Linked DNA regions of Caenorhabditis elegans. The protein of the gene in region 3 interacts with the protein of the main gene of each other region in a pairwise test. Each region holds a gene or a part of one and is shown on either strand. Other genes may lie near its edges.

Region 1 (4,668 bases), about 10 Mb from region 3:
CCCAATGGGACAATTGCCTGTCCTCACCGTCGATGACTTCGAAATCCCACAATCTGCTGCCATAAATCGCTACCTTGCTAGAAAATTCGGGTTCGCTGGAAAAACTCCAGAGGAAGAAGCTTGGGTAGACGCCGTCGTCGATCAATTCAAAGATTTCTTTGCGGAATTCAGAAAACTAGTCATTGCAAAACGAGTCGGAAAATCTGCTGAAGAACTGGAAAAGTTAACGGCTGAAGTTATAAAACCTGCTATGGATGTGTACTTCAAAGTTCTCAATGGCCTACTGGAAAAGAGCAAGTCAGGATATCTGATCGGAGATTCAATCACCTTCGCGGATCTTTATATCGCTGACAACATTCAAACACTGAAAAAATATGGGCTCCTAGAAGCTTCTGGAGAGCAACCAAAACTAGCAGCTCATCTCGAAAAAGTGTATTCCCACCCCAATCTGAAGAGCTATATCGCAAGTCGTCCAGTAACGGAGATCTAATTTTTAATCTTACTAACATGTTTTCCATATTCAAAAACAAAATAAAGAAGTTTCCTTTGACAACCAGAAACTTCATTAATGTTGACTGCCGCCGAAATGTCCTTGTCAATACTCTCTCACGTGGGGGGGGGGGGGGGGGGTAAACAAGAAAATGTGATGTTTGGTGAACAGAAAGGGTAGGGGAGAATAACAAAATAAAAACGAAGGAGGTTTTCTAAAGAATGATTGTTCTGGATTTTTTTTTGTTGGTTTTTTACAATTCATTTTTATTTTTATACTTATGCCAAGTTGAATTAAAGATGGAGCAGAGTTTCTGAAGTTTGCATATATTAATTACCTATTTTCAACAAATTTAGACGGCATTTTATTTTTGCCCAATTTTTTTCAGCCATCTAAGGACTGTCCTTTTTTTGGGCAAAAAAAATTTCTCTGAAACCGTTCGAAACTACTGGAAATTGAAAAAGGGCAATTTTTTAGTGTTTGCAGATCAATTTTGAGTCCTCTATCTATAAAATTGACCATTTTAGAGGAGTTTCAAAATTGTGATTTTTTGCCATAAATTGCCCATTTTTGCCACGTTATAGTTTTTGATGGGTTAAACATAGATTTTCTGAATTCAGCATACACGAATTACCCGTTTTCAACAAATTTAGCCAAAAATTTTTTTGCCCAATTTTTTTAAAGCCATCTAATGACTGTCCTTTTTTTTGGGCAAAAAAAAAGATTTTTCTTAAAACGTTTGGAACCACTGGAAATTGAAAAAGGGCAATTTTTTAGTGTTTGTAGATCAATTTTGAGTTCTCTAACTAAATTCAAAATGAACCATTTTAGAGGAGTTTTAAAATTTGTGATTTTTTACAATAAATTGCCCAAACAATATGTTTTTAAAAAAATTTTTAATGATTTTTTTTTTCAATTTTTCAAAAATCAAAGAAATGCCCAAATTATATTTGAATTCTCGCGCAAATGAGTGACGTCATTTTTGGCTAAATTTATGCGTTTTTTTTTAAAATTTTCTTCTATATTTGATTTAAAACACAAATTCGGCAATTGTTTTTCAAATTGAAAACTTTTTTCCGTAACATGGAAGAAATTGGTCTAAAAAACGGAAATTTAATATTTCTTTATATTTTTTTTGTTTTAGAAAATTGAATGTTTGAAAAATTGACAAACGGCGATTTAAATCAAATGTAGAAGACATATCAAGAAACCCCTCCAAAATTAGCCAGAAAAAGCGAAAATGCATAGAATGACGTCACTCATTCGCGCGGGAATTCAAATTTAATTCGGACGTTTTTTTTTTCAAATGGAAAAAAATTATTAAAAATTTAGAAAATTTTTAAAATTTTTTGACAGTTATATTTGGTTATTACGACCTATTTTCTGTGACTTAAACCCAAAAAAAATTTGAAAAAGCTCTTCTTCTCTTTTCAAAGTGGGGTTTTTTTCGAAACGTGTCCTGCAAAAAAATGTAAATTTCCAAAAAATCGTTTTTATTTCTCTTATTTTTCTTTTATTTTGAAATTTTAAATTTTGTGCTCTTTTTTATCACAATGCTCAAAGACCACCGATTTCCAATTCCCATATTATATTTTTGCTTAGAGACGTAAGCCTCAAATAAATAGACTTAGACTGTTAGAGACCTCGCTTTTTCCACTCAATTTTGTCGATTTTCGAATCCACCTTTTTCAATCTTCCAGAAATAAAATGCCACAATACAAGCTAACATATTTTGATCTACGTGGATGGGCTGAGCCGGCTCGACAGCTTTTCCATCTCTCGCATACTCCATACGATGATATTCGGATTCCAATGGCCGATACTGAAGGGAAATGGGAGAAAATGAGAGACAGTAAGTTCTTAAAGTGAAATGTGTTGCTTGTAGTTTGTAGTTTGTAGTTTGTAGTTACTGATGCCACACTTAATTTGAAAAAGTTTGAACTAAAAAACATTAAATTTCTTGGCTTTCGGGGAAAAATCTTTTTGTAGTTTGTAGTTTGTAGTTCGTAGTTTGTAGTCTGTAGTTTGTAGTTTTTAATTTGTAGTTTGTAGTTTGTAGGTGCTAGTTTGTAGTTTGTAAAAGGTTTTTTGGTACGAAAGTATTTTGAAAAATTAATTTTTGTCAAAAAAATAGTTTGTTACTTGTAGTCCGTAATTCGTATTATGTAGAATATAGGTTGTAGTTTGTAGTCTGCAGATTGTAGTTTGTAGTTTGTATATTGTAGTTTGTAGTTTGTAGCTTGTAGAAAGGATTAGATATTTCTGTTTTTTTTTCGTATAAATAGAAAGTCACTACATCCAGCTTTAGGGTTTCATAAGATCTTCAGGCGTACGCGCCTACTTTTTGCCTGCCTGCCTACGTGCTCTCCATTGTGACTTCTTGTTTAGCGCAGATTTCAAATATTTGTGTTAAGTATAAAATGTTCGATTACAAACTGAGAGTATGAACACACGATGGCAGACGTAGGCATGTAGGCAAGCGTGCCTACAAAGAAGACCTGCCATAATTAATTCAACTTCCAGAAACCCCATTTGGTCAGCTCCCAGTACTCAACGTTGATGGCTTCGACATCCCCCAATCTGCTGCAATTTGTCGATACCTTGCCAAGAAATTTGGTTATGCCGGAAAAACTCCAGAAGAAGAAGCGTGGGCGGACGCCGTTGTCGACCAATTCAAAGACTTCTCCGTTGCTTTTAAAACACTCCTTTTTGCCACAAGGGCCGGGAAACCAGAAGAAGAAATCCTCAAAATCCGCTACGAGATTTTCAATCCAGCTCGAGATGTCTACTTTATTCTTCTCAATCGAATTCTCAAAAAGAGCAAGTCAGGTTATTTAGTTGGTGATGGGCTCACATGGGCTGATCTAGTTATAGCTGATAATTTGCACAGTCTGGAGAAGCTTCGAGCCATCGATGATGATGATGAAGGACATCAGAATTTGAAAAAGTATAAGGAGAAAATCTATGGAACCCCAGATTTGGAGGATCATATTGCGACGAGAATGGATACAGAAGTCTAAATTTTGAATCGCGTTGAATTTTTAAAAACTGTGATAAAAGATAATAAACATATTGTAGTATTTTATGCGGATATTTTTTTACCGAAATACTTTTTTTTGAAATAATAGTGCGAGAAGTGCAACAGGGCTCCATATGATTTTTCAGTACTTTTGAATTTTTGAAAAAAACAGCTTTTGATGTATTTTCTGAACTTTTTAAAATAATCTTCCGTACAAGTTAGCAAATTTTATTTAATATTTTTTGGTATATTTTATCATGCTAAACAGTTTTATAAAAGAAAAATGAAGCACTTCATATGATTTTTCAGTACTTTTGAATTTTTGAAAAAAAAACAGCTTTTGATGCATTTTCTGAATTTTTCAAAAATTTTTCCAATTTTCTGACTTTTTGTTTTGTGACCAGTGTTTCTTCGCAAAAACACAAACCACTCTTCTATTTCTCTATTTCTCTCACTCTCCCTCCCCTCAATTTCGGAGATTTTCGAAACGACTTTGTGTATATAAAGTACTACTCAATCATCTCCCATCAACAAACAATGCCACAATACAAGCTCTACTATTTCAACCTTCGTGGATGGGCTGAGCCGGCTCGGCAGCTCTTCAAGCTGGCTCACGTCGAGTTTGAGGATGTTCGTATTGAGAATGGAACTCCAGAGTGGGGAGCGTTGAAGCCAAGTGAGTTTTTGAAACATTTTTAGTGGTATTTGTATAACTGTCACGGATTTTGAGAATTTTTTAAAAATCAGATACGGTGGTCCACTCTAAGCCTAAGCCTATGCCTCGGCCTATGACTATACCTAAGCCTAAGCGAAAGCCTAAACCTAAGCCTAAGTCTGAATCCCAACCCAGGAATCTTCCAGAAACCCCATTTGGTCAGCTCCCATTCCTCTCAGTCGATGGCTTCGAAATCCCCCAATCCGCTGCAATTCTCCGCTACCTTGCCAAAAAATTCGGCTACGCTGGAAAAACATCAGAGGAAGAAGCGTGGGTGGATGCAATCGTAGATCAATTCAAAGACTTCGTCACCCCACTACGCCAACTCATCATGGCTCAAAGATCCGGAAATGCGGAGGAAATCGAGCGAATCCAAAAGGAGGTCTTCGCGCCGGCCCGGGATACATTCTTCAAAATTCTTAATGGAATTCTTGAGAAGAGCAA
Region 2 (5,790 bases), on a different chromosome or scaffold from region 3:
GTGAATTACCTTTGATATCATCTCTAATATTTTTCAGAAAAATGTGACAGAAGCTCAAAACGTCCAATAGTATTCATGCAACACGGCCTCCTTGCGGACGGATTCTCTTGGATTCCGAATCTAGCAAATCAATCGGCTGGTTTTGTTTTCGCCGATGCAGGTTTTGATATTTGGATTGCAAATAGCCGTGGAACTCCTGCATCACAAAAACATATTGGCTATGGACCGGAAAATCAGAAATTTTGGAATTTCACGTGGCAACAAATGTCGGAATTTGATTTGACAGCGAGTGTGGATTTGGTATTGAAGGAGACAAAACAAGAGTTTTTATATTATTTGGGACACTCACAAGGAACTATGATTATGTTCTCAAGACTTGCAGAAAATCCAGAATTTGCAAAGAAGGTATTTCAATTTATTGCTAGACACAGAGAATTTTAAAACAAATCTAATTCGTTTCTAATTATAATTAGTCAGACAGTTTTTCGGCACCCGTGCGATGAAGGATGTATTTGACATGTTTTTGTATGACTACTCGTATTATGGGGTATTGTAGTTACAAACAGTACATTTTGTTGTGACTACTTATGTAGTTGCCGTAATCCAACATTTGTTTCTCAAGCTCATGCTTTGCACAAAATTGAAAATCACGATCAGTATATATTTATAGTTTCTGTATGCTAACAAACATTTTCTTTGTAGAAAGTTACATACGATCAGTTAATATGCTTTTAGTCTTTCTTTACCTCCTCAAAAGCAACAATAATTTAAGATTCGTCATTTCCATGCATTGGCTCCAGTTGCAACAGTATCCCATATCGGTGGTCTATTTGGATTGTTTGGGACAAAGTTTCTAACTTATGCAGAAATCTTGCTCGGTCGACTTCCATACTCTCCACTGTCAATTCCGCGAACTGTTCAAAAAATGATAAGTTACATGTGCAGCAGATTCTTTATGCAAAATATTTGTACATTGGACATCGGTTTCATTGATGGAAATGAGAAAATGTTCAATCAATCAAGAGTTGGTGTATATCTTTGTCATACACCTGCAGCCACTTCTGTAAAAGATTTGCAACACTGGATTCAACTTGTCAAATCACAGACTGTTTCTAAGTTTGATTATGGAACTGATGGAAATATCATTGAATACGGGCAACCTACTCCTCCGGAATATGATTTGACACAGATCAACACACCAACTTATCTCTATTGGAGTCGTGACGACATTTTGGCTGATACTCAAGATATTCGGTTAATCAATTATATTAGTTTTGATGTAACTAAATGAATGATTTGTAGAGACTCGATTCTGTCAAAAATGAATAAAACAATCGCTGGATCACTGGAACTTCCACACTACAGTCATATGGATTTTGTATTCGGTACGCATGCTGCATTTGATTTATATCCGGTAAGTCTGAAATCAAATTTCCTACTGAATAATATCTTTTCATTAACGTTAGACCGCGCATCTGTAATATTTACACTTTGTCAAATTTTGGTAAAACCTTTTGATTTGGTTTTGATCAGGCCTTGGTAAAGACTTCATGTGTGCGTTCTGGAAGGTTAAAAAAAATGAAAGTTGGTGGGTCAGACTTAGGTCACCTCATATTTGAAATCTGTAACACGTTCCGAGCAAAGTTTGACCAATTTCTGGCCAAGGTGTATTCAAAATGTGGTCACTCTTTCTAGACATTGAACAGAAAACATTTGAAAAGGAACGGCTTCTGCAGAAATTCTCTCTAACATAAATTAATAGAGTTCCAAAATATTTCAATTCCTTATTTTCCCACTTTTTCGTTTTTGAGCAATGGTCCAAATTTTCCAAAATGCCGGGTTTGGTTGTTCTTAATGTTATATTCTTATTTTTGAAATTACATAATAAGGAGTTATTTAAAAACAAATTTATTCCAGAAAATCATCGAAACTATCCAAGATGACTACAACAAATATCGAATCACTCGGATGCACAAATTGAAGAAACATTTATGATTTTTCATCGATTTTTTTTCAAAAATAAATAAAACCGTGTTTTATTGTTGTTTTAATGGCCAAAATGTACCTATAGGCTACAATGTTCTTCTTATCAATTGATCGCTAACGTGGGACACATCTGGCATATATCAATGCAATTTCTTTAGATCTTTTAATTCGTTACAATTGGTTTTATTTTGAAATTTAGATTTTTGAAATTCAGAAAAATGGATAAAGTGCCACAAGCAGTGAGGGACTATTTGATGGAGGCTCATCAATTGGCGGCTCAGGTAACTTTGAAAACTAAAATAATAAAGTTTTTTGAATGAGAAATTAGTTATTTTCCGCTTTTCCGTATCCGTGGGCACTCTGTAGATTTGTGAATTGTTTGTTTTTGGTATTTTTCAGTGAGGGAAGACCACTTTTCGGCAGAATTTTGAATTGAGCAATGGTAGAAATCACTAAAACGATATCGTTTATAGTATATAGAGAACAGAAAATAGCTGAAGTTACAGATTTCGATTTCATTGATAATATAAAATATTAGTTCATCCGGCAAACATCGGAATAATATTTTTTTAAAGTATTTTTCAAATATCGAAGAGCACGACTATATGATTCAATGGCAAAATTCTAAGTTGTGGTGAAAAATAATAATAAACAAGAAAATCCCTTGATTAGTCAGTTGCCAAAATTTTTGAAGAACTTGCTCGAGAAAAACGCGCATTTTTACACTTTGCAAAGTTTTTCAGCATTCAGCTTTAACAATATCTGAAAATCACAATTTTTTTACATCAGAATATGAAAATTGATCATTTCAGTGGTCTCTTCCAAATGATCGCGGTGACTACATAAATTCGAAATCAATTCCAATCAAATCAGTGGCTGTAATTGGAGGTGGAACCATGGGAAGAGGAATTGCAATCGCATTTTGTTTATCAGGATTTGAGACGTATCTTGTCGAAGTTAACAATAAGGTAGCCATAAAGTTTAAAAATAATATCAATTCAGTTAAACTTGTTTGCAGGCTGCCGAATTCTGTAAAAATGAATTGGAAATCACTTACAAAAGGGAAAAAGCATTTCGAAGACTGAACGATTCAAAAGTTGAAAAATTGAGAAAAAATCTACAGATAACTACAGATTTTCAAAAGCTAAATAATTGTGATTTGGTGAGTTTTTGTTTTTATTTTCAAAAGAAAAAAAAAGAAAAATTTCAGATTGTAGAAGCCGTTTTTGAAGATATGAAACTGAAAAAGGAACTTTTCACTAAACTTGATAAAATTTGCAAACCATCATGTATTTTTGGAACCAACACATCAAGTTTAGATTTGAATGAGGTACGCTTTAAGTTAACTATTCCAAAAGAACATGTTCACTTTCAGATGTCATCAGTACTTAGAGATCCAACAAAAGTAGTTGGAATTCATTTTTTCAATCCGGCAAATTTGATTCGAATGGTTGAAGTGATCTACGGATCGAAAACTTCCTCCAAAGCAGTTGCTACAGCTTTTGAAGCATGTAGATCTATCAAAAAGCTACCAGTTCTTGTGGGAAACTGTCCAGCATTTGTATTTAACCGGCTACTTGGAGTTTATCTGAATCAGAGTCAAAAGTTGATGTATGAATACGGATATCTTCCTCATCAAATTGATAAAATCATTACAAACTTTGGATTCCTAATGGGTCCTTTAACAGTAGCTGATATGAATGGATTAGATGTAATGGAAAAGTTGAAAAAGGAGAATGGATGGCCAGCAAGTGATTTTGAAAAGGAAGTTTGGAGACAAAAGAGATACGGTAGAAAAACAAGTACGTCTTTAAATAAATTGTGAAATGAACTGAGAAACGGATAATTTCAATTTCTTTGGAGTATCACCAGCGGCAAATAGTTATACATAGGTTAAAAAACAAATACCTTCGCTCCGGCTATAAGAAAAGTTTGAAATATTTGACAAGCTGAAGTCTGAAATTTTTAAAATATTTTTTCAGTGGTAATGATAAGTGCCAATCAAAATTTTGAACGTTCCAGAAGGAAAACCGGAAATTATTGTTTTCAATTTATTTTTTCAAAATGAAGATTTTCAAAACTGTCACGAAAAGCCCAATATTTTTTACCAATTTAGGTGTAATTTTCAGATAAGGGATACTACAAATATGATCCAAATACTCACAAAAAGGAGAATGATATAGAAATGGAGCAGCTCATTCGAAAATTTTCTTCAGCTGCAAGTCCAAATATACAAATTTTGAACGATCAGGTACTCACTTTCTAATTTCATTCAAATTCAACCGAAAACTTACCAGGATGCCGTCAATTTCCTCTTGTATCCCATGGTCAACGAAGGTCTTTTGTGCATTGAGGAAGGAATCATCCATCATGAAAGTTTGATCGATATCATGTTGTAAGTAAAACTTAATTTCAAAAAAAAATTAAAATTATGAGCACAATTGTTTCAGCATTCTCGGGTTTGGATGGCCTGTTGCTACTGGTGGTCCGATGAGATTTGGATGGCTTCAAGGAATTGAAAAAGTTGCGAGCACAATTATTCTCTGGAATTCTTTAGAACCAAATGATAGAACATACAAAGTTGCGGCCACGTTGCAAAATGTGGACAGGAAGAATTTTGCAGCGAAATTATAAATTTTGTAGTTCGTTACCATGTTCAAAGAGATGATTATTGTAAAAACATAAATAAATACCCTGTATACAATTGATCTACTATGTACAAGAAATGACATGCTGGGGATTATAAATTTTGTCGAAAGTTTGATGCAAATCAATCTGCAAGACCAATTGCCCATCTCTAATTCTGAAAATTAAAATGTCTTCTGTATTTTTTTGGATAAACCCCGTGAGGTGCACAAATAATAATTATAAAAATAAAAGTACGGTACATTTAGCGAAAAACGGATCTTGAGACATTCAATTGTACACTTATCATTATTATCAGTAACATGGATTTTGTGGGCGTTTTTCGTATTTCAACCGGACAAGCACTGTCATATGAAATCAACCCTTACTCTTAGACATTTGAGCTTGAAAATTGATAAGAAAGTGGAAGTAAATGTTGCCTTACAGAATCACAAAAATCAACATAAAGACTGCCTTGCTGAAATGACGTTTTGTATTAAAAAATATTACTGATTGTGTTGGGATTAAAAATTTGATATCAAAACGAAAAATACTTGGTAAATAGGTAGAACACACATTTTTTCAAGAAAAAAGTGTTTCCTCTGGTGCTCGATATGACCGACAATAAACTTCAAATTTTTAGCTGTACTCTGTAGGGCACAATAATTATATTTAAAAATTTCAGTTCAAGCCAACTTCTGTACAAAATCCACCTTTAAAAAATTTCAGACAACACTTTGTTGAGCCCTACCAGAGATACGCGTCCATCTGCATTATTTTTCAAAAAAGTTGGCGATAGTTTTTTGTTCGGATATCGTAATAATCTCACGATATGCTGCGCTATGAAAATTGGATGTTTTTCAAAGTATCAAAACAAGTTATAGCCTAACATCTTAATTTAGTAAACAACTCCAAATAAATCACATATGTATGTACATATACAGATAAGAAACAATAAACTATACACAGAAATATTCACAAGGCACATGTTTGCACTTGATTTTTGAATTATCTAGATCTAGACGGAATTTCGTGTTTTACTCTTAAACAAAGACGACAGTGTACTGAAAGCACCAAAGTCTCATCAGCTCTTATCATCAATGAATCAACAAACAGACAGTGACAACATCGACTAGATCATTTTCTGTCCGGGAACTTCACGGACGAAATGTCGGGACA
Region 3 (4,534 bases):
CAGTCGAAACATCTAAAGTGCGTGCTAGGAATTTTAGTAGGAACTTGTTAAAGAGAGTTTATCAAGTTTTGGCATTACCGAGAGCACCAGGAAGCTTGAAACAGACTTGAACATCAAAGATCGGAAGAATCAGAACCAGTCTGGAGATCCCACGAGAACATTTCGTATTAATTTTTTAAAGTCAAAACTGCTTATATGAACTCATTTCTAACTCAAACTTGATTTGAGCTTTGTCAAAAATTCCAAAATCTGTTGATTTTAGTAAAAATCGTGAAAAAAAACGGGGGGTCCTATAGAAGTTTCACACTGGATTTTGACGTTTTTTCCAGCGCGACCTCAGTTTTTGAGATAAACTTCTGGAAAAAAATTTATATAGGTTTTTTTCAATTTAAAAACGAACGGCATTAGCAGTTTTTCGAAAAAATTTTCGGAAGTTCCTCAAACCTTCAAATTAGGGGGGGTCCTATAGAACTTTCCCACACTGTATGATTATAAAAACAAAAAAAAATGAAGTTATAACCCCAATTTTAAACTGTAGTGTTTTGAAAATTTTTGGCAATTGGAATCTTCGGAAACTGCTGGTTTCAAAAAATATGGGAAATTTTTCAATTTTTTGTGAAGCTGCCAAAAACTTCAATTGCCGAAAAATTTCGACTGAGGTATTGCATTTTTTATTGGAAATTTTGAAATTTCAGTTGTAACTGCAAAATTACACGTATCTTACATGAAAAATGAGAAAAAATATATTAGAATTCTTGCTGAAAACGAGAAAAAATGTCAAAAATATGTGTCATCCGTTTTTTCTTATAAAAATTCCTTCAGAAATTTTGCACAATTTGCAAAAGCGGAAATCGGAAAGTTTTCTATACATGTCTTGAAAAAAACTCCACCGCCACTATTTCCTAAAATTTGTTAAAAATATAAAAATGGCTGTTAATTGCAAATCGATAGACTTACTGATAACAAAACTTCATCTCACTTTCTTCATTTCTCTTCCCCACAATTTTTTTAAAAACTCTCCAAAAAATGTGCGAAATTATTAAACTAGACGTTGGTGGAACTATATTCAAAACTTCAAAAGATACATTAACGAAACTCGATAGCTTTTTTAAAACTATGTTTGAAAGTGATATTGCGGTATAATGTTGCTGACTATATTTCTCCAAAAACCTGAACATTTTCAGCCGAAACTCGAAAAATCCGGATGCATTTTTATTGATCGTTCCCCGAAACACTTCGAGTTAATTCTGAACTTAATGAGAGATGGGAATCTGTGGTTGCCCGAAACTGAGAAGGAATTGAGAGAGTTGTGTGCGGAAGCAAATTACTATCAGATGTTTGGACTGTACAATAAGTGCGGTGTGAAACTTAGCACTATAATAAACTTCCGAATGATTCAAAATCAAAAACCAATAACTAAAAATAATAGTTATACTCGTTTTTTTGTTTTTTCATTAATTTTTTTGGTATTTGTGTATTACATCCCTGCACTAAAAAGCTATTTTATTGTTGAAAAATCTAGTAAATGCTACCTATTTTAGTGGCTATTAAACGCAATTTTCATTGTATTATGCTATCATAGAAATGTGAACAGACCCGAACGTAAACCTATTATAGTATGGAAAAAAATCAATTGAAAACACTGATAACTTCAAATCGATCGACTCACTGATAACAAACCTTCATTTCACTTTCCTCTTTTTCTCCTCTACAATTTTTTTCAAAAACTCTCCAAAAATGAGTGAAATTATTAAACTAGACGTTGGCGGAACTATATTCAAAACTTCAAAAGATACATTAACAAAGTTCCATAGCTTTTTCAAAACTATGTTGGAATGCAAAACTGGGGTATGAAAATCGTTGTTTTTTTCCAAAAAAAAACGTGAAAATTTCCAGCCGAAAATTGAAAAAACCGGATGCATTTTCATAGATCGGTCCCCGAAACACTTTGAATTGATTCTGAATTTAATGAGAGATGGTGATCTGCCACTGCCAGAAGATGAAAGAGAGCTGAGAGAATTGATGGCAGAAGCTCAATTCTACTGGTTGGATGGTCTAGTCTTAATGTGCTGTGATAAACTTAATTCTACAAAAAAGGTCCAAATTGATCAAAGAGCAAACACTAAAAAATATGATTTATCATGGTTTTTTGTTTTTTCAATAATTTTTTTGGTTTTAGTGTTTGTGTATTACATGCCTGCACTAAAAGGCTATTTTATTGTTGAAAAAAGAAATAAATGTTATCTTTTTTAGTTGTTGGAAATTTTAATTTTTGTTAAAAAAAATCATTTTGAAATATGTACTGATCGATAATCTTATAACTGATAACAAAATTTTACTCCATCTTTCTCTTTTTCTCCCCTAGAAAACTCTTCGAAAATGAGTGAAACTGTGAAATTGGACGTTGGTGGAACTATATTCAAAACTTCAAGATCTACATTAACAAAGTTCAATGGATTTTTCAAAACTATGTTGGAGAGTGACATTGGGGTCCGATTTTTCCAAAAATTTCCCGATAAATTTTCAAATTTTCAGCTAAAAATTGACGAATCTGGGAGTATTTTTATTGATCGGTCTCCGAAAAATTTCGACTTGATACTGAACTTTATGCGAGACGGCGACGTGGTTCTACCCAATTGTGAATTGAAACTGAAGGAGCTGCTAGTAGAAGCTCAATTCTATTTGCTCGACGGACTCATTGAGTTGTGCAATTCAAAGATTGAGCTTGTTGAAGCTCCAAAGATAAAACTTCGATTTATTGAAAGCGATGAACAATTTCTTCAAATTCTTGCTGTTCAACAGAAGGTGAGTTTCGATAAAATAATGTAGTTTTTCAAATTCATAGGAATATCTCAGTCGGTAGTGGTAGCTGCTAGAAAGCTAGAGGTTGCGGTTTCAAGTTTAGACTCATCCCCTAGGTTCACCCAGTCTGTATTGGAGAGTGGAGCAATCCATGACTGTATTATCGGCCACAGTCCCTGGCTAGGACGTGGCTTAAACTATAGGCCAGTGCAAGCTGTAGTCCTAATAGTAAGGCCACACTGTATGGCGTTTGTCAATCATAAAATAATTAACCAGTTTCTTCAAAAAATTTCAGCTCTACATATAATTTTTACAGCCAATGCTCATAATTGAATTTTGCATGGTTGGGAATGATATGTCGATTCCCTATAACTTTAATCTTTACGAGTTCATGGAAAAGTATTCACATCAGTTCGATATTTATTTTCGTAAGTTTTTTGTACATTATCCTCATAAAATAGTCAATTCAGAGCGATTGAGTGAAGACGAACCTTCTCGCAAATGGAAAGCAAGGATAAAATGGAAACCTACTGAGAATGGATATTACAGTCAATTTCCACACAATCTTCGAATTAATCGAGGTGGACGGATAATACGGGATGCAACATTTTTGGAACGATTGGAAAAAATGATCGGGGAGTTTGATGAGTATTTGAAGAAGCAGAGGAATAGATAATTAACTTATTTTATGGATTTTTCGACAATATTTCTAATTTAGAAGCTTAAAAAATTATAATTTAGTAAGCTTGTTTTTTTATCTTTAAACACAAAACACATGGATAAGTTCAAAGTCTGATTGATAACAAACATTCTTATTTTTATTTTTTGAGTTTGGTTGCATCTGTGCCTCAAACCGTAACTATTTTAAAATATGAACAAGGTTGTTAAACTAGACATCGGCGGAACTATTTTTAAAACTTCAAGACCGACATTAATAAAATGTGATGGATTATTCAAAACTATGTTTGAATGTGAAAGGGTCTGATTACCGTAATCGATTAAGAGCGATTGAGTGAAGACGAACCTTCTCGAAAATGGAAAGCTAGGATAAAGTGGAAATCTACCGAGAATGGATATTATAGTCAATTTCCGCACAATCTTCGAATTAATCGAGGCGGACGGATAATTCGGGATGCAACTTTTTTGGAAAAATTAGAAAAAATGATTGGGGAGTTTGGTCAATATTTGTATTTGGAGAAGCAGAGAAAGAGATAATTAACTCATTTTGTGGATTTTTTGACAATATTTTCAATTCAGAAGTTTTTTTTTATTTCTTAACATTTTTGATTTTTTTGTAAAAAAAAAAACAAAATTTCGCAACACTGATAATTCAAAATCGATCGGCTCACTGATAACACAATTTCACTCCGTTTTTCTCTCTTTTTCCTCTCAAAAACTTTTCAAAAATGAGTGAAACTGTTAAACTAGACGTTGGCGGAACTATTTTCAAAACTTCAAAAGATACATTAATGAAACTCGATAGCATTTTTAAAACTATGCTGGAATCTGGAACAGGGGTTTCATGATATTGATTTCTTACCTGATTTGAAAACTTGAAAATTTTCAGCTGGAACTTGACGAATCCGGATGCATTTTTATCGATCGCTCCCCGAAACATTTTAACAGGATTTTAAATTTCATGAGAGATGGTGACCTGTCACTTCCCGAAAATTGGAAGAATTGCTGGCAGAGGCTCAATATTATTTGCTGAATGGACTCATTGAATTGGGTA

The links.
Region 1: the proteins of ZC239.15 (region 3) and gst-15 interact in a two-hybrid assay, tested with the Caenorhabditis elegans proteins (one large-scale study listed by BioGRID).
Region 2: the proteins of ZC239.15 (region 3) and ech-8 interact in a two-hybrid assay, tested with the Caenorhabditis elegans proteins (one large-scale study listed by BioGRID).

What each region holds. Positions count from the first base shown.
Region 1 is NC_003280.10:13,610,673-13,615,340, reverse strand, and holds gst-15 (glutathione transferase), read left to right. Parts: upstream 1-2,144; 5' UTR 2,145-2,197; coding exon 2,198-2,342; intron 2,343-3,013; coding exon 3,014-3,510; 3' UTR 3,511-3,571; downstream 3,572-4,668. Other genes in the region: gst-14 (glutathione transferase), read left to right, coding at 1-490; gst-24 (glutathione transferase), read left to right, coding at 4,047-4,185, 4,371-4,668.
Region 2 is NC_003282.8:10,235,529-10,241,318, reverse strand, and holds ech-8 (Enoyl-CoA Hydratase), read left to right. Parts: upstream 1-2,142; 5' UTR 2,143-2,204; coding exon 2,205-2,267; intron 2,268-2,798; coding exon 2,799-2,954; intron 2,955-3,004; coding exon 3,005-3,148; intron 3,149-3,196; coding exon 3,197-3,316; intron 3,317-3,361; coding exon 3,362-3,788; intron 3,789-4,115; coding exon 4,116-4,237; intron 4,238-4,283; coding exon 4,284-4,381; intron 4,382-4,436; coding exon 4,437-4,620; 3' UTR 4,621-4,693; downstream 4,694-5,790. Other genes in the region: lipl-7 (Lipase), read left to right, coding at 38-405, 773-1,254, 1,303-1,414, 1,918-1,995.
Region 3 is NC_003280.10:3,222,489-3,227,022, reverse strand, and holds ZC239.15 (BTB domain-containing protein), read left to right. Parts: upstream 1-2,291; 5' UTR 2,292-2,379; coding exon 2,380-2,490; intron 2,491-2,535; coding exon 2,536-2,805; intron 2,806-3,118; coding exon 3,119-3,230; intron 3,231-3,272; coding exon 3,273-3,478; 3' UTR 3,479-3,690; downstream 3,691-4,534. Other genes in the region: ZC239.17 (Potassium channel tetramerization-type BTB domain-containing protein), read left to right, coding at 1,143-1,541; ZC239.16 (BTB domain-containing protein), read left to right, coding at 1,738-1,848, 1,897-2,253; ZC239.13 (BTB domain-containing protein), read left to right, coding at 4,209-4,319, 4,370-4,513.